4 linked regions of the Saccharomyces cerevisiae S288C genome follow. The gene in region 1 interacts genetically with each later gene. Each region holds a gene or a part of one and is shown in the gene's direction. Other genes may lie near its edges.

Region 1 (7,499 bases):
AGTGAGAATCTTATTCTTAGTCTACATCGTTACATTGTATCAGTCACAGGTACGGAGAGAAATTATACTTTTCGATTTCATTCAATGTAGTTTCTTTTTTACATTAAATATAGTTTTCCAGTAGTGCACTATTATTAAGGCGCTTCTGTTTTTAGTCAACACTTTTTCAGATAGTACCTTTCAGGTGGTTAGAGTGCGATCCCTTTAAAAAAAAGTATTCGTCAACGATGACAGGGTAAAGAATAAATGCAGCACGCCTGGCGTATACTGCTATAATTGTACATCATGTTATCGGCGTTGATTCTCAATTGTTTGGTGATTAGCTTTTATATATAGATAGAAACCCAACGTTGGATAACCTCACGACTAACTTTTTTGTATTTTAGAAATAATTTGTCGATCGGTTGTATATTTTTGTCATATATTATCTAGAAACGTTAGGGAATAAACTGTTATCTAGGGTCCACTAACATACGCGCAGTTCGGAAATCAGCAAACATCACTTAAAGGACACCTGCTATAAACTGAATTGTGTCCAATTTTTCGAGTAGTTAGCAGTTCAATAAAGGGCACGTTATCAATTGTTAAAGGCAAAGAATCAGAATTAAATCATAGCAAACGACCAAAATGAACAGAGTTTCGTTTATTAAAACGCCTTTCAACATAGGGGCGAAATGGAGATTAGAAGATGTCTTTTTGCTCATTATCATGATACTTCTTAACTACCCAGTGTATTACCAACAACCGTTCGAACGTCAGTTTTACATTAACGATCTCACTATATCGCATCCTTATGCGACAACTGAACGTGTAAATAACAACATGTTGTTTGTTTATAGTTTTGTCGTGCCATCTTTAACCATATTGATAATTGGTTCCATTTTGGCCGATAGAAGACATTTGATTTTTATTTTGTACACATCTCTCCTTGGTTTATCACTCGCTTGGTTCAGTACGAGTTTCTTTACAAACTTCATCAAGAATTGGATTGGAAGACTAAGACCAGATTTTCTAGATCGTTGCCAACCTGTTGAAGGCTTGCCATTGGACACTTTATTTACTGCAAAAGATGTGTGTACGACTAAGAATCACGAACGTCTGTTGGATGGGTTTAGGACAACTCCGTCAGGTCATTCAAGTGAAAGCTTTGCAGGACTGGGTTATTTGTACTTCTGGCTATGTGGGCAACTTTTGACTGAATCACCGTTGATGCCTTTATGGAGAAAAATGGTGGCCTTTCTACCACTGTTAGGAGCTGCACTAATTGCTCTATCCAGAACTCAAGATTACAGACATCATTTCGTCGATGTAATTTTAGGGTCTATGTTGGGTTATATAATGGCACACTTTTTCTACAGAAGAATCTTCCCACCCATTGATGATCCTCTTCCGTTCAAACCATTGATGGACGATTCAGATGTCACCCTGGAGGAAGCAGTCACCCATCAGAGGATCCCGGATGAGGAATTACATCCTTTGTCCGATGAAGGTATGTAAGAATAAAAAAGAATATATACTCCACATGACATACGAAATATACGTATTTATTGTTCTGTATGGAATAACAGCGATTACATAAAGATGACATGTTACTTCTTTATTCAAATTAATCTTGACGTGCAAGGGCCTGCTTGTTATTTCATCGGACAATCCCAACATCACTTTACACGAAAGCCTTAGAAGTTTATTATTTGTTTTAAGTTGGACTATAGTGATGTAGGTAGTTTCTTAGGAAGCAGTTGAGTAGCTGATTTTTGAGATAAGAACCTGGTGTAATCAATCTATAAACAGCCTAGAATCTTTTTAAGCAAATTTACTTTTACATTTATCTCTATCTTCTTTCTTACAAGAAGTTATTTTCATTACAAAAGGACATTAAATACACTAAATTTTCAATCTTTACATTGTTGGAAAGCCTCGTTGTCTTTTAAGATTTTATAAGCATTGATTTTTTTTTTCAATAATTTTCCGTTCCCCTTAACACATACTATGTATAAATGTCATTGAGTCATCTCACTTTAGATCAATATTATGAAATACAGTGCAACGAACTTGAAGCGATACGTTCCATTTATATGGATGACTTTACTGACTTAACTAAAAGAAAGTCTAGCTGGGATAAGCAGCCACAGATTATATTCGAAATTACGCTTCGATCTGTTGACAAAGAGCCGGTTGAATCTTCTATAACATTACATTTTGCGATGACCCCAATGTATCCTTATACCGCTCCAGAAATAGAATTCAAAAATGTACAAAATGTAATGGATAGTCAATTGCAAATGCTGAAAAGTGAATTTAAGAAAATCCACAACACCTCCCGAGGCCAAGAGATTATATTTGAAATTACATCTTTTACTCAAGAAAAACTGGACGAATTTCAAAATGTGGTAAATACACAGTCCTTGGAAGATGATCGATTACAAAGAATCAAAGAAACTAAAGAACAATTAGAAAAGGAAGAAAGAGAAAAACAACAGGAAACAATAAAAAAAAGATCAGATGAGCAGCGAAGGATAGATGAAATTGTTCAAAGAGAGTTGGAGAAAAGACAAGATGATGATGATGATTTGCTATTCAACAGAACAACCCAGTTAGATTTACAACCACCTTCAGAATGGGTTGCATCAGGTGAAGCTATTGTCTTTTCAAAAACTATAAAGGCAAAATTGCCTAATAACTCAATGTTCAAGTTTAAAGCAGTTGTAAATCCTAAGCCAATAAAACTGACATCAGATATATTTAGTTTTTCCAAACAATTTCTTGTGAAGCCTTATATACCACCAGAATCTCCGTTGGCAGATTTTTTAATGTCTTCTGAAATGATGGAAAATTTCTACTATTTGCTATCTGAAATTGAATTGGATAATAGCTATTTCAACACAAGTAATGGAAAAAAAGAAATAGCAAATTTAGAGAAAGAGTTAGAGACGGTGTTGAAAGCTAAGCATGACAATGTGAATCGATTGTTCGGTTATACGGTGGAGCGCATGGGGAGAAATAATGCAACGTTTGTTTGGAAAATAAGACTCTTGACAGAGTACTGTAACTACTATCCATTGGGAGATTTGATACAATCTGTTGGATTTGTTAACTTAGCAACAGCGCGTATTTGGATGATTAGATTGCTTGAAGGATTGGAGGCCATACACAAATTGGGAATTGTTCATAAATGTATCAACTTAGAAACCGTGATCCTGGTGAAGGATGCAGATTTTGGAAGCACTATTCCCAAGTTAGTTCACTCCACTTATGGCTACACTGTTTTGAATATGCTATCGAGATATCCAAATAAAAATGGTTCTTCGGTTGAGTTATCTCCAAGTACATGGATAGCCCCTGAGTTGTTGAAATTCAATAACGCCAAACCTCAAAGATTAACTGATATTTGGCAACTTGGTGTTTTGTTTATCCAGATAATCAGTGGATCTGATATAGTGATGAATTTTGAAACGCCTCAAGAATTCCTAGATTCAACAAGTATGGATGAAACTTTATATGATCTTCTTTCGAAAATGCTTAATAACGATCCGAAGAAAAGATTAGGAACATTAGAACTACTGCCCATGAAATTCTTAAGGACCAATATTGACTCTACAATCAATCGATTTAACTTAGTTTCCGAAAGTGTCAATTCTAATTCCTTGGAGTTAACTCCTGGAGATACCATAACCGTTCGGGGCAATGGAGGTAGAACACTTTCACAATCGAGTATACGAAGAAGATCATTTAATGTTGGTTCCAGATTCTCTTCTATAAATCCTGCAACGCGATCACGATATGCTTCTGACTTTGAAGAGATTGCAGTTTTAGGCCAGGGCGCATTTGGACAAGTTGTCAAGGCACGTAATGCTCTCGATAGCAGATACTATGCGATCAAGAAGATTAGACATACAGAAGAAAAGTTATCTACTATATTGAGTGAAGTAATGCTGTTAGCAAGCTTAAATCATCAATATGTTGTGCGTTACTATGCTGCATGGTTAGAAGAAGACAGTATGGATGAAAACGTTTTTGAATCAACTGATGAAGAAAGTGACTTGAGCGAATCTTCCTCTGATTTTGAGGAAAATGATTTATTAGATCAAAGCAGTATTTTTAAAAATAGAACAAATCACGATTTGGATAATAGTAACTGGGATTTCATATCGGGGTCAGGATATCCGGATATTGTCTTTGAAAATAGTTCTCGTGATGATGAAAATGAAGATCTAGACCATGATACTTCCTCGACTTCCTCGAGCGAAAGTCAAGATGATACTGATAAAGAATCAAAGAGTATCCAGAACGTTCCAAGAAGGAGGAATTTTGTAAAACCGATGACTGCTGTTAAGAAGAAAAGTACGCTTTTTATTCAAATGGAGTACTGTGAAAATAGAACGCTATATGATTTGATCCATTCTGAAAATTTAAATCAACAACGTGATGAATATTGGAGGTTATTTCGACAAATTTTGGAAGCACTGAGTTATATACATTCCCAGGGTATCATTCATAGGGATCTGAAGCCAATGAATATTTTTATAGATGAATCGAGAAATGTTAAAATCGGTGATTTTGGGTTAGCTAAGAACGTCCATAGATCTCTGGATATACTTAAGCTAGATTCACAGAATTTGCCAGGCAGCTCAGATAATTTAACATCCGCCATTGGTACAGCAATGTATGTTGCTACTGAAGTTTTAGATGGTACAGGTCACTATAATGAAAAGATTGATATGTATTCACTTGGAATCATTTTTTTTGAAATGATCTATCCTTTCAGTACAGGTATGGAGAGAGTTAATATTTTGAAAAAGTTACGATCAGTGTCGATAGAATTTCCTCCTGATTTCGACGATAATAAGATGAAAGTTGAAAAGAAAATTATAAGGTTACTCATAGACCATGATCCCAATAAAAGGCCTGGTGCTAGGACATTATTAAATAGTGGTTGGCTTCCTGTGAAGCATCAGGATGAAGTAATCAAAGAGGCTTTAAAAAGTTTGTCGAATCCTTCATCCCCTTGGCAACAGCAAGTTCGAGAAAGTTTATTTAACCAATCTTACAGTCTAACAAATGATATTCTATTTGATAACTCAGTTCCAACATCCACTCCTTTCGCAAACATTCTCAGGTCCCAAATGACAGAAGAGGTAGTTAAAATTTTCAGGAAACATGGAGGAATTGAAAATAATGCTCCTCCGAGGATTTTTCCAAAGGCCCCCATATACGGTACGCAGAATGTATATGAAGTGCTTGACAAGGGCGGTACCGTCTTGCAGTTACAATATGATTTAACTTATCCTATGGCTAGGTATCTATCTAAAAATCCAAGTCTGATTTCTAAGCAATATAGGATGCAGCACGTTTACCGACCTCCTGATCATTCAAGGTCAAGTTTGGAACCTAGAAAGTTTGGTGAGATTGACTTCGACATAATTTCAAAATCTTCCTCAGAGTCAGGATTTTATGATGCAGAAAGCTTGAAAATTATCGATGAAATATTAACCGTATTTCCTGTATTTGAGAAAACAAACACTTTTTTCATATTAAATCATGCTGATATTTTGGAGAGTGTTTTCAACTTTACAAATATTGATAAAGCCCAAAGGCCTCTAGTTTCACGAATGTTGTCGCAAGTAGGCTTTGCAAGGTCCTTCAAGGAAGTAAAGAATGAACTAAAGGCGCAACTGAACATATCTTCTACGGCATTGAATGATTTGGAGTTATTTGATTTTAGACTGGACTTCGAAGCAGCCAAAAAACGCCTGTATAAATTGATGATTGATAGTCCGCATCTAAAAAAAATTGAGGACTCTTTGTCCCATATATCAAAGGTTCTCAGTTACCTAAAACCCTTAGAAGTTGCAAGAAATGTTGTGATATCTCCTTTGAGTAACTACAATAGCGCTTTTTACAAAGGAGGTATCATGTTTCATGCAGTTTATGACGATGGATCCTCACGTAATATGATAGCTGCTGGAGGGAGGTATGACACTTTGATATCCTTTTTTGCCAGACCATCAGGAAAAAAGAGCAGCAATACTCGTAAGGCTGTAGGTTTCAACTTAGCGTGGGAAACAATATTCGGTATAGCCCAAAACTATTTCAAACTCGCTTCTGGAAATAGGATAAAGAAGAGAAATAGGTTTTTGAAAGATACAGCTGTTGATTGGAAGCCAAGCAGGTGTGATGTATTGATATCGAGTTTTTCGAACTCTTTGTTGGACACAATCGGGGTTACAATACTGAATACATTGTGGAAGCAAAACATTAAAGCGGATATGTTAAGGGATTGTTCCTCGGTGGATGATGTCGTTACTGGCGCTCAACAGGATGGTATAGACTGGATTTTGCTGATTAAGCAACAAGCGTATCCACTAACCAATCACAAGAGAAAGTACAAGCCATTAAAAATAAAAAAATTGAGCACTAATGTTGACATAGATTTAGATCTTGATGAGTTTTTAACCTTGTACCAACAAGAAACTGGTAATAAATCTTTGATCAACGATAGTCTCACTTTGGGCGATAAGGCTGATGAATTTAAAAGATGGGATGAAAACAGCAGTGCCGGTAGTAGTCAAGAAGGTGACATAGATGATGTTGTTGCTGGTTCGACTAATAATCAAAAGGTAATTTATGTTCCAAACATGGCTACAAGATCTAAGAAAGCTAATAAAAGGGAAAAGTGGGTTTATGAGGATGCAGCCAGAAATTCTTCGAATATGATATTACACAATTTATCCAATGCACCAATTATCACTGTTGATGCCTTAAGAGATGAAACTTTAGAAATAATCTCAATTACTTCTTTGGCTCAGAAGGAAGAATGGCTGAGAAAAGTTTTTGGGTCAGGTAATAACTCGACTCCTAGAAGCTTTGCCACGAGCATTTATAATAACCTCTCCAAAGAGGCTCATAAAGGGAATAGGTGGGCAATATTATACTGCCACAAAACCGGAAAATCATCTGTTATCGATTTACAGAGGTAGGCCTTTAAAGATCTGTGCGGCGCTATAACGCATCAGTTAAAGGTAAAGTATATACAATGTCTTAGATACTATATTTAGGCTAGCTGATTCATCTAATTCACCGTTGTAAAGGGGGTAGGTCACCTTTCTTATACATATTCCTGATACTAAAGACAAATGTAGGTTTAATGAGATGGTCTACTTCTTCTCTCCTTTCTCTACTTTCCATTTTGTATTTAATTTTTCGGTGAATATAAATGTGTGCGTATGTTGTGTGAGGCTCCTCTAGCTCCTACGGGAGACATTTAATAAATGATCATAATATGGCGTGAAGAATGCTTTCATTCAGAAGTTTGACTAGCACATTCGGTTTCGTATCACGATTCCAAATTAGACGGTTAGGAACTAGTTTATCAATACAGAATTTAGAAGTGCAAGATGGCCGTTGGAAAGGTAAACTAGCTACAGAGAAGAAGACCAATAGGGAACACAAGTCAGTGGATACGAATATCAAGACAATGAAGATGCTTAAAAACCCGAAGA
Region 2 (2,856 bases), on another chromosome or scaffold:
AGTCAAAGATGCGAGTGGATTCAGACTGAGAGTTATTCAAACCGATGGGCACAAAACTAAAAAGACAGACCCTGATTATGAAGTGACAATTGATGGACCCTTAAGGAAGATTGAGCCTTATTTTTTCACTTATAAAACTTTCTGTAAGGAGAGGTGGAGAGATCGTAAGTTGGTGGATGTATTCGTGAGCGAATTCAGGGATCGAGAGCCCAGCTATTATTCCAAAACCATTGCAGAGGGAAAAGTATACTTAAACGATGAACCTGCAAACCTTGATACCATCATTCGTGACGGTGATCTGATCACACATAAAGTACATCGACATGAACCGCCAGTCACATCTAAACCAATAGATATTGTGTTTGAAGACGAAGATATCCTTGTCATTGATAAACCCAGCAGTATTCCAGTGCACCCAACGGGCAGATACAGATTCAATACCATTACAAAAATGCTAGAAAGACAGCTAGGTTATTCAGTACATCCATGTAATAGACTAGACAAGCCAACTAGTGGACTAATGTTTTTAGCCAAGACTCCATTAGGTGCAGATAGAATGGGAGACCAAATGAAAGCGAGGGAAGTCACCAAAGAATACGTAGCCCGCGTGAAGGGCGAGTTCCCTATAGGTATAGTAGAGGTAGATAAGCCTGTCAGATCTGTTAACCCTAAAGTTGCACTAAACGCTGTTTGCGAGATGAGCGATGAAAACGCTAAACATGCCAAGACCGTTTTCCAAAGGGTTAGCTATGATGGACAGACGAGTATTGTAAAGTGTAAACCATTGACAGGTAGAACTCACCAAATAAGAGTCCATTTGCAGTACTTGGGATTTCCCATAGCAAATGACCCTATATACTCGAACCCAGATATCTGGGGTCCAGATTTGGGCCGCGGTGGACTTCAAAACTATGATGACATCGTTCTGAAACTAGACGCTATTGGCAAGACTAATCCTGCAGAGAGCTGGATTCATCCTCATAGCGAGGGTGAATACTTGCTTGGCCGTCAGTGCGAAGAATGCGAGGCTGAAATGTACACAGATCCCGGTACTAATGATCTCGACCTCTGGCTGCATGCCTTCCGGTACGAGTCATTGGAAAGAAATTCGGATACGCAAAAACCTCTCTGGAGTTATAGAACAAAATACCCTGAATGGGCCTTAGAGCCACATCGCCGATATATGGAAATGGCCGTTAAGGAAGCTGGTAAGTGTGGCCCGACAAAGACTGCTTTTAGTGTTGGTGCCGTTCTTGTTCATGGAACTCAAGTACTTGCCACAGGATATTCAAGAGAGCTACCAGGAAACACTCATGCAGAACAGTGTGCTTTGATAAAGTACTCGCAGTTACACCCGAACTGTCCCACTATAGTCCCTATGGGAACAGTGCTCTATACAACCATGGAACCCTGTTCCTTCAGGCTAAGTGGCAATGAGCCTTGCTGCGATAGAATCCTGGCCACCCAAGGTGCCATTGGTACTGTCTTCGTGGGGGTTATGGAGCCCGATACATTTGTTAAAAACAATACAAGTTTGAACAAGCTGGAATCGCACGGTGTGAACTACATACAAATACCAGGCTACGAGGAGGAGTGCACCATCATTGCCTTCAAAGGCCACGATAATAGTGACGACAAAGCTTAGACTATTTAGCATATATATTATCATGTAATCTTACATCATATCTACAATAACCACTCATTACTGGAAACGGAAAAAGGCGCCACCGAAAATTTTGAGTAAAAAGAATGGAATTAACTTCAACCACAACACAGACAAAAAACACTAGATAGTGAACCAAAAGAAAGCACAACACCAAACATGAGCAGCATTCCAGCTGGCACTGATCCTGGGTCCTGCGGTGCTAATTTCAAGAATGACCGCAAGCGCAGAGATAAGATCAACGACCGTATTCAAGAACTATTGAGTATCATTCCCAAAGACTTCTTTAGAGATTATTACGGCAATTCTGGTAGCAATGACACGTTAAGTGAATCCACTCCCGGTGCGCTTGGGTTGTCCAGCAAGGCCAAAGGTACAGGGACCAAGGACGGAAAGCCCAACAAGGGCCAAATTCTCACACAGGCGGTAGAGTACATATCACATCTACAAAATCAAGTGGACACACAGAACAGAGAGGAGGTGGAACTGATGGTGAAGGCCACTCAGTTGGCCAAGCAGACAGGCACCATTGTCAACGATATAAACTTAGAGAACACCAGCGCTGAAGTCGCCCTGTCCAGGATTGGCGTGGGACCGCTGGCCGCAACAAATGATGACTCAGTAAGACCGCCAGCAAAGAGGTTGAGCTCCTTCGAGTACGGAGGGTATGGTGAGTACGGTAATGGTAGCTAAAAGTACTTCTGACTCTCACTATTGCTATGTTGTGATAACCCTCGTTGGTAGTGATACGAACACTTCTCTTCTTTTTTGTTGTTTTTGTGAGAAAAAAAAATCTAAATGAACATATTGCTAATGCAACGGATAGTTAGTTTTATTTTGGTGGTTAGTCAAGGGCGATACTTTCATGTTGGAGAGCTGACCATGACAATGTTGAAAAGACCTCAAGAAGAAGAGTCAGATAATAATGCTACGAAGAAGCTGAAAACGAGATTAACGTACCCTTGTATCCTCGGGAAGGATAAGGTGACGGGCAAATTCATCTTTCCTGCAATCACTAAAGATGATGTTATGAATGCAAGACTGTTTTTGAAGGACAACGATTTGAAAACTTTTTTAGAATATTTTTTGCCAGTGGAAGTCAACTCGATCTACATTTATTTCATGATAAAATTGCTGGGATTCGACGTCAAAGATAAAGAACTATTTATGGCGTTAAACTCTAATATCACTTC
Region 3 (4,898 bases), on another chromosome or scaffold:
CGAGAGCTCTTCATGTATTCGTGCTAAAACTATTAGTAGAAATTCCTGTGTATCCTGTTGATCATCTGGGATGTTCAAATCTGGCCTTAACTTCTTGCACATTTTTAAGAATCTATTTGGTATAATCGCTCTTCCTCCATTCAAATACATTTTTTTGAACAAAACGTAAATCGAGCGGGAAAGTTGGACTTCTTTCGGATATTTGTTAGTATTGAGGAATAGCCTATATTTCTTGGTTAAAAACAAATCCCGAAATAAGGTAGTGCCAAACAGACATTGAATTATACTGTTAATATAGCATGTATTGCATGGATTTTGCAGGCCAGTAATAGATAACTCTGATAACAGATCATTAGAATCTTCAATTACTGGTAGATTGTAAGCTTTCGGGGCCGAAGATTCTATGGCCTCGATCTTTCCTTCTTCCTCCTTTGGCTTTTCCACCTTGGATAAAGAGGATGAAGAATCTTGGCTAGAATCTCTGATTTGTGACGAAACCTCCAAGGAGTGCACGGGGGGAGCAGTTGCTGGACTAGACAGCGTTTTGAATAATGCATCCTTTCCAGTACTGAGTTTTAAATACGAGGGTTTTGATAATGCTTCTTTGCTTGTGTAGTACGCCACTTCAGAACCAGCTTCCAATTTATTACTTGATGCTATCTGATTACTTTCCCTGACTATGTCCTCTTTCGAATTATCATTTGTTGGTTTTGTTAGCTCATTCGGTATTTCATGTAGTGAGCCATCAAACTTGTTATGTATTGACAAAGAGGCCATATGAACAGGTAAAGGCCGTAGCGGTAAGGAGTAGGCTCTTTTTCTTTTTATGGTCCTGCAAATTCCGTTTGACTCCGCTAAATACCGGTCAACAATAACAGTACTTTCATCTCTTACCACTTTTAACACATAACCCATCACGTGTTCGTCTTGATAGTCGTTTTTTAGCTTTGCGTAACTGCTGTAGAGATTATTTCTTGTTTGGAATTGTAACGATTGTGGAATAATAAGGTACAGATAATAACAACCAATAATAAATGCTGTCAAAGCTTCCATTTCCTGATTGATTTCTAAATCCCTCAGGTAAACATTAAACAGATGAGCAGCATGGTCTAACAATCCTCTTAAGTTCTTTAGCCGTAATTGCGAATAAAACTGTTTAATATCTACTTCATATACTTTTCGAACTAGGTTTAGAATTTGATCTGGGTTTAATAACATTGTCTTTATGACTTCCGATTTAGCGAAAAGAAAACGGAAAGTAAGATCAATGCCACGGTTATTTAGTTTACTGAAGATCCTGAAAGACTACTAGCAGTAGCAGTAACCTTTCAGAGCTTATAATCAACCTAATGATTACTCAGCGCACAATCTAAAAGGGTTTCTCAACTAATTCTCGAAGAAATGTCAATCCCTTTTTTAAGCACTCCGGAAAAACTTTATAATAGATGTGGGGAAATCACCTTTGACGATGTGCAACGGAGAAACTATTTTTTTTTTTCTTTTTTTCTTTTTTTTTTTTTTTTTGGTCCGAACAATGCGATGAGCCAGACGAAGAAAAAAATAAAAAATGAGAATGAGTAATTATGTTAAGACCTTTAGAAGAAATAGGGTCCAGTCACAGAATAAAGCCCCAGGAAACTTTAAAGCAATCGAAATTAACCAGCTATATTTATATAATAAGAAATTTTTCTTATTAGTTTACTATAAAGGACTAGTGTACGTTTTTTGTGTTTAATTATTTGCTTTCTGATAATCCGGTTTGCTGATTTGAATCGTTCTCTGCAACAATTGTTGATCTCTAGTGGGGTAAACAAAATTAGTTTTGTTTAAAACTTTTGTTGTAGCGTTTTTGCTCTTTTTTTTTTATCGCAGAATACATTTTATCGAGAATGTCGAATATAAGTACCAAAGATATACGAAAAAGTAAGCCAAAAAGAGGATCCGGCTTCGATTTACTTGAAGTGACTGAATCACTTGGCTATCAGACACACAGGAAAAATGGAAGAAATTCATGGTCAAAGGACGACGATAATATGCTACGATCGCTAGTAAACGAATCCGCAAAGGAGTTAGGCTATGAGAATGGACTTGAAGACGTAAAAACAATTCAACAATCCAACCATCTTTCTAAATGTATTGCTTGGGATGTTTTAGCTACACGATTCAAACACACCGTAAGAACTTCAAAGGATGTAAGAAAGCGTTGGACAGGATCTCTGGACCCAAACTTGAAGAAAGGTAAATGGACACAAGAAGAGGATGAGCAGCTCTTGAAAGCTTATGAAGAACATGGGCCTCACTGGCTGAGTATCTCCATGGATATCCCTGGAAGAACAGAGGATCAATGTGCGAAAAGGTACATTGAAGTGTTGGGACCTGGAAGTAAAGGTAGATTAAGAGAATGGACGCTCGAGGAAGATTTAAATCTGATAAGTAAAGTGAAGGCATACGGCACGAAATGGAGAAAGATTTCGTCGGAAATGGAATTCAGACCAAGTTTAACGTGCAGGAACAGATGGCGGAAAATTATTACTATGGTTGTGCGAGGACAAGCATCAGAAGTAATAACAAAGGCTATAAAAGAAAACAAGAACATAGACATGACAGACGGAAAACTCCGACAACATCCAATCGCCGATTCTGATATACGCTCAGATTCTACACCGAATAAAGAAGAACAGTTGCAGCTATCTCAACAGAACAACCCTTCATTGATAAAGCAGGATATATTGAATGTTAAAGAGAACGAATCGAGCAAACTACCAAGATTAAAGGATAATGATGGACCCATTTTAAATGACAGCAAGCCACAAGCATTACCTCCCTTAAAAGAGATATCTGCACCTCCACCAATCAGGATGACGCAAGTCGGTCAGACTCATACCAGTGGTAGCATTAGGAGCAAAGTATCTTTACCAATTGAAGGTCTTTCTCAAATGAACAAGCAAAGTCCTGGAGGAATCTCAGATAGCCCACAGACAAGCCTTCCCCCAGCATTCAATCCAGCATCTCTCGATGAGCATATGATGAATAGTAATAGTATTTCAGATTCTCCGAAGCATGCTTATTCTACTGTGAAAACTAGAGAACCAAATTCCTCTAGCACACAATGGAAATTTACATTAAAAGATGGTCAAGGTTTGTCAATTTCTAACGGAACTATTGACAGCACAAAATTAGTAAAAGAATTGGTTGACCAAGCTAAGAAGTACTCTTTAAAAATTTCGATACATCAACATATTCACAATCATTATGTTACATCCACAGACCATCCTGTCAGCAGCAATACTGGATTGTCAAATATAGGAAATATAAATGGAAACCCTCTATTAATGGATAGTTTCCCACATATGGGTAGACAACTGGGAAATGGTCTTCCAGGGTTAAATTCAAATAGTGACACTTTTAACCCAGAATATAGGACTTCTCTGGACAACATGGATAGCGATTTTTTATCAAGAACACCCAACTATAACGCATTCAGCTTGGAAGCAACTTCACACAATCCCGCTGACAATGCAAATGAACTTGGTTCACAAAGCAATAGAGAAACAAACAGCCCGTCTGTATTTTATCCTCAAGCAAATACATTGATCCCAACTAATTCTACCGCTACAAATAATGAAATCATTCAAGGAAACGTTAGTGCTAATAGTATGTCACCGAATTTCAATGGAACAAATGGCAAGGCACCAAGTTCGACGGCATCATATACAACGAGCGGTTCAGAAATGCCACCTGATGTAGGTCCTAATAGAATAGCGCATTTCAACTATTTGCCACCAACTATACGGCCTCATTTAGGCTCATCAGATGCGACAAGAGGTGCTGACTTGAATAAGTTACTCAATCCATCTCCAAATTCAGTAAGAAGTAACGGCAGTAAAACTAAGAAAAAAGAAAAAAGAAAAAGTGAATCATCTCAGCATCATTCTTCATCATCTGTGACAACCAATAAATTCAATCACATTGATCAGTCGGAGATATCAAGGACTACATCCAGATCTGATACTCCATTGAGAGATGAAGACGGCCTGGATTTTTGGGAAACGTTAAGATCCTTGGCTACTACGAATCCAAATCCTCCAGTTGAAAAGTCAGCTGAAAATGATGGTGCCAAGCCTCAAGTGGTACATCAAGGGATTGGCTCACATACAGAAGATAGCAGCCTAGGTTCCCATAGCGGAGGATACGATTTTTTTAACGAACTGTTGGATAAAAAGGCAGATACACTGCATAATGAGGCTAAGAAGACGAGCGAGCATGATATGACGTCAGGAGGTTCTACCGATAATGGGTCAGTCCTGCCACTGAATCCTAGTTGAGAAGGCAAGGCCGAAAAAAAACACAAATCTTTCAATTGTTTAACATATTAGTTTTGTAATAAGCATAAGTGTATATTATACATAGCACAAGATGGATAATATTCTCTGAAAAAAACGTGTAGTTTCATGACTCGCATTTTTTTTTTTTTTTCTTTCATGTTGATTAACATACTTGAATTCTGTATTTAAGCTGTATAAAAAGTTGTTCTATTTCATATACGGCGATTTTGCATAATTAAGAACTTTGCCTTGTACACTATTTTACTAGGGTATTCTTCCAAGATTTCTCTTCTTATTTTTTCCCTTTATAAGTCATTGTAGCAACATAATTTCCTGGAAATTTTAAGGGAATATATTTCTTTCCGCCCACAAACACAAAGGGCGTTTAGTAAATTATGCGGCGATGTATAAAAGAGAAAGCAGGCAAAAAGAAAATGAAAAATGAGACTATGAACTTTAAGAATTATGTCTTGACTAATTTTTTAAAACCCATCATCCATGAAGAGTTCTGTTTGTATTGTTTACGTTTGATGTTTGAAGTGAATTTAATAGAATTGTTCCTCTTTTTTTCTT
Region 4 (4,405 bases), on another chromosome or scaffold:
CAAGGCCAGATACACTGTCAGAACTTTCGGTATCAGAAGAAACGAAAAAATTGCTGTTCACGTTACCGTCAGAGGTCCAAAGGCTGAAGAAATTTTGGAAAGAGGTTTGAAGGTCAAGGAATACCAATTGAGAGACAGAAACTTCTCTGCTACCGGTAACTTCGGTTTCGGTATTGACGAACACATTGACTTGGGTATCAAGTATGACCCATCCATCGGTATTTTCGGTATGGATTTCTATGTCGTCATGAACAGACCAGGTGCTAGAGTCACTAGAAGAAAGAGATGTAAGGGTACTGTTGGTAACTCCCACAAGACAACTAAGGAAGACACCGTCTCTTGGTTCAAGCAAAAGTACGACGCTGATGTGCTCGATAAATAATTTGGTCTCGGTATAGTCAGTGACAACATCAACTACTTAATATATAAGAACAAATAAAATATCCCAAAAATATCATATATCCTCATCACATTTGCAAGTCTAGCGCTTCGATGCGTTGTGAACACTTTGTCAATGTATTTAGTTGTATTCATACCCAATTTATTGGCACTTATTTGATACTCACCATGCAGGGTAATAGAAAATGTGCTGAAAAAAAGCTAAACCTTTCTTATTAAGAAAATGGGAACCATAACAGTGGTGATTAATGAGGGACCAATACTGTTGATAAGGGCATTGCACCGAGCAACGACCAACAAGAAAATGTTCAGAAGTACAGTTTGGAGACGTTTTGCATCTACCGGCGAAATTGCGAAAGCAAAGCTGGATGAATTCTTGATATACCACAAGACAGATGCGAAACTAAAACCATTCATTTACCGTCCCAAGAATGCTCAGATATTGTTAACTAAAGATATTAGGGATCCAAAAACAAGGGAACCATTACAACCGAGACCTCCCGTAAAGCCACTGTCGAAGCAAACGTTAAATGATTTTATTTATTCGGTTGAACCCAACTCGACAGAACTACTAGATTGGTTCAAAGAATGGACAGGGACCTCCATAAGAAAGCGCGCTATTTGGACGTACATCTCACCAATTCATGTTCAAAAGATGTTGACTGCGTCATTTTTCAAAATCGGTAAATATGCGCACATGGTAGGACTCTTATATGGTATTGAGCACAAGTTTCTCAAAGCGCAAAATCCATCCGTATTTGATATCGAGCATTTTTTTAATACTAATATCATGTGTGCTTTGCATCGAAATAGGTTGAAAGACTATAAAGATGCAGAAATTGCTCAGAGGAAACTGCAGGTTGCTTGGAAAAAGGTATTAAATAGAAAAAATAATACTGGACTAGCAAATATTCTTGTTGCAACATTAGGTAGACAGATTGGATTTACCCCAGAGCTGACGGGCTTGCAACCTGTAGATATTAGTTTACCAGATATCCCCAATTCATCAAGTGGCGCGGAACTAAAGGACTTGCTAAGCAAATACGAGGGGATATACCTTATTGCAAGAACATTATTGGACATCGATCAACACAATGCTCAATATCTAGAATTGCAAGAATTTATACGCCAATATCAAAATGCATTAAGTGAATCCAGCGATCCATACGACACGCATTTGAAAGCGTTGGGACTGTTGGAAACACCACCTCCTCAGGAATCCACCGAAAAAGAGGAAAAATAGTACCAAAACACCCCATAGGAAATATATAAATAAACATACCTGTAAATACTAAAAAGTAGAACACAGTTCGTCACATATATTGCTATTATTGTATTAATTATGTTTATATTTACCCGGGAATCTCTTCACAATTTTCAGTACCTCTCGCTTTTTTCCAATTTTTCAATTTTTTTTTTTCGAGTTTAGTGAAAATGAGTATTCTACAACAAGGCATCACCAGCTATAGATAATCAGCGTAAGTGCATAAGATCTTATTTTCACCACGTAAGAAATACGTTGTCAAAGAAGCGTCGATAATCAAATTGCTATGAGCGAATCGGAAGCCAAATCTAGGTCGGCTACACCGCCAAGTAAAGCTAAACAAGCTACTCCAACAACTACAGCTGCAGCTAATGGAGAAAAGAAATTAACAAACAAGGAGCTAAAAGAACTAAAGAAACAAGAAAAAGCTGCAAAGAGAGCTGCAATGAAGCAGGCTAATGGTATATCCATTGAACAACAGCAACAACAAGCACAAATGAAAAAAGAGAAGAAACAACTACAACGTGAGCAACAACAGAAAAGAGAGCAAAAGCAAAAAAATGCCAATAAAAAAAAACAAAATGAACGAAACGTGAAAAAGAGCACACTTTTTGGTCATCTGGAAACTACTGAAGAAAGAAGAGCGACAATTTTAGCTTTAACCAGTGCAGTATCATCTCCAAAAACTTCGCGAATCACCGCTGCTGGGTTGATGGTCCCCGTGGTGGCTAGTGCATTATCAGGATCTAACGTATTAACGGCTTCTTCCTTGATGCCCGTGGGTCCAAACGCGTCGTCTACTGTATCTGCATCAGCTCCAGCTTCAACAACAACGACTCTTCCTGCCTCTTCTGCAGCACTCTCTGCCGGTACCAGTTCTGCGTCAACAAATACTCCAACAGCTATACAACAAGAGATTGCTTCATCAAACGCTTCTGATGTTGCCAAGACATTGGCATCTATCTCGTTAGAGGCTGGTGAGTTTAATGTCATTCCCGGTATATCGTCAGTGATCCCTACCGTGTTAGAACAATCATTTGACAACTCCAGCTTGATATCGTCTGTTAAGGAACTTTTATTGAATAAAGACCTTATCCATCCGTCGATATTATTATTAACTTCTCATCTAGCACACTATAAAATCGTGGGATCCATCCCACGTTGCATAGCCATGCTAGAGGTTTTCCAAATTGTTATCAAAGACTATCAAACACCTAAGGGAACTACCTTGTCACGTAACTTAACAAGTTATTTGTCACACCAGATTGATCTTTTGAAAAAAGCTAGACCTTTAAGTGTTACTATGGGTAATGCTATCAGATGGTTAAAGCAAGAAATTTCATTAATTGACCCATCTACCCCCGACAAAGCCGCCAAAAAAGACCTTTGTGAGAAAATTGGGCAGTTTGCTAAAGAAAAAATCGAACTGGCTGATCAACTAATTATAGACAATGCCTCTACACAAATTGAAGAATCTACTACTATTGTGACATATGGTTCATCAAAGGTTCTAACTGAACTGTTACTGCATAATGCAATCAGTTTAAAGAAAAACATCAAAGTGATTGTCGTCGATTCGAGACCACTATTTGAAGGGCGGAAAATGGCAGAAACTTTAAGAAATGCTGGTGTCAATGTTATGTATGCACTTATTACAAGTTTGGATACGATATTCAATATGGATGTGGACTATGTGTTTTTAGGAGCCCATTCTATCCTATCTAATGGGTTCCTATATTCAAGAGCTGGGACAGCAATGTTGGCTATGAGCGCTAAGAGAAGAAATATACCTGTATTAGTCTGCTGCGAAAGTTTGAAGTTTTCACAAAGAGTACAATTGGATAGTGTCACATTTAATGAACTGGCAGATCCAAATGACCTGGTTAATATAGATTACGAAAATCCAGTCGAGAGACGCGGTAATAAAGGTGCGTTATTAAACCAATTTATCAAAGAAAGAAAATTTGAAAAGAAAAAGCTAGCAATGGAGAATAAGCCAAAGGGTAATAAAATTGGCGGTAAGAAAGGATCTGAAGGAGAAAGCAAGGACGCCAGTAATGAAGAAGACAGCAACAGCAAAAATATTTTGGATGGTTGGCAAGAGTTACCTTCGTTAAATATTGTCAACATCTTATACGATTTAACACCACCAGAATATATTAAAAAAGTGATCACTGAATTCGGCGCTTTGCCACCTTCATCTGTCCCTGTTATTTTAAGAGAGTACAAAGGTTCCGCATAAGCATATACAACATTCGTTAATGGTCGTCCACGTGTGTATACTACATATATATTATATATATATATATATATACATATATATATATATTACACCTAATACGATGAAAAAATACATCTAATGAAAAGAATTGTTTTTATCCTTAGCTTTCCAAAAAGCTTGGTATATATAACAAGATTTAGGCTAGAGAAATGATGTAATTATATAGGGCTATATACAGAGTAAAAGAAACAAAAACGGAGAAAAAAAGCAAGCAAAATGTTACTCTCAGTCATCGATATCGTTAGCTTCAGCAACCGCATCAGATTCGGCCTTGCTTCCAACAACTCCTTTAACGAAAGAAGCCACATTAGCAGGAGGCAAGATGGCAATCATTAATATAATATATTCGTAAATGGCTTCAGGAATGGATCTTTGGTAAATTCCCAATAAATCGGCTGGCTGAGGGTATACAGTCAATGCTTTATAAAACTTAGAGGCTGCTTCCAGTTCCTTACCTTGTT

What was found.
Region 2: mutations in GCN2 (region 1) and RTG1 together harm fitness more than expected from each alone (negative genetic interaction), as found in Saccharomyces cerevisiae (5 studies listed by BioGRID).
Region 3: mutations in GCN2 (region 1) and BAS1 together harm fitness more than expected from each alone (negative genetic interaction), as found in Saccharomyces cerevisiae (4 studies listed by BioGRID).
Region 4: of GCN2 (region 1) and GCD2, extra expression of one rescues a mutant of the other (dosage rescue), as found in Saccharomyces cerevisiae (5 studies listed by BioGRID, with this or other methods).

The regions. Positions count from the first base shown.
Region 1 is NC_001136.10:1,024,548-1,032,046, reverse strand, and holds GCN2 (serine/threonine-protein kinase GCN2), read left to right. Parts: upstream 1-1,997; coding exon 1,998-6,977; downstream 6,978-7,499. Other genes in the region: DPP1 (bifunctional diacylglycerol diphosphate phosphatase/phosphatidate phosphatase), read left to right, coding at 628-1,497; MRX10 (Mrx10p), read left to right, coding at 7,292-7,499. UniProt on the Saccharomyces cerevisiae protein: Metabolic-stress sensing protein kinase that phosphorylates the alpha subunit of eukaryotic translation initiation factor 2 (eIF-2-alpha/SUI2) on 'Ser-52' in response to low amino acid, carbon, or purine availability.
Region 2 is NC_001147.6:201,485-204,340, reverse strand, and holds RTG1 (Rtg1p), read left to right. Parts: upstream 1-1,822; coding exon 1,823-2,356; downstream 2,357-2,856. Other genes in the region: bifunctional DRAP deaminase/tRNA pseudouridine synthase RIB2, read left to right, coding at 1-1,645; histone deacetylase HST1, read left to right, coding at 2,462-2,856. UniProt on the Saccharomyces cerevisiae protein: Required for a novel path of interorganelle communication between mitochondria, peroxisomes and the nucleus, thereby maintaining a functional metabolic interaction between the tricarboxylic acid and glyoxylate cycles.
Region 3 is NC_001143.9:633,962-638,859, forward strand, and holds BAS1 (Bas1p), read left to right. Parts: upstream 1-1,889; coding exon 1,890-4,325; downstream 4,326-4,898. Other genes in the region: ubiquitin-specific protease UBP11, read right to left, coding at 1-1,218. UniProt on the Saccharomyces cerevisiae protein: Activates HIS4 transcription only in combination with PHO2/BAS2. BAS1 is also involved in the regulation of the purine biosynthesis pathway.
Region 4 is NC_001139.9:644,360-648,764, reverse strand, and holds GCD2 (translation initiation factor eIF2B subunit delta), read left to right. Parts: upstream 1-1,949; coding exon 1,950-3,905; downstream 3,906-4,405. Other genes in the region: 60S ribosomal protein uL5 RPL11B, read left to right, coding at 1-382; mitochondrial 37S ribosomal protein mS44 MRP13, read left to right, coding at 623-1,642; TOM complex receptor protein TOM20, read right to left, coding at 4,170-4,405. UniProt on the Saccharomyces cerevisiae protein: Acts as a component of the translation initiation factor 2B (eIF2B) complex, which catalyzes the exchange of GDP for GTP on the eukaryotic initiation factor 2 (eIF2) complex gamma subunit.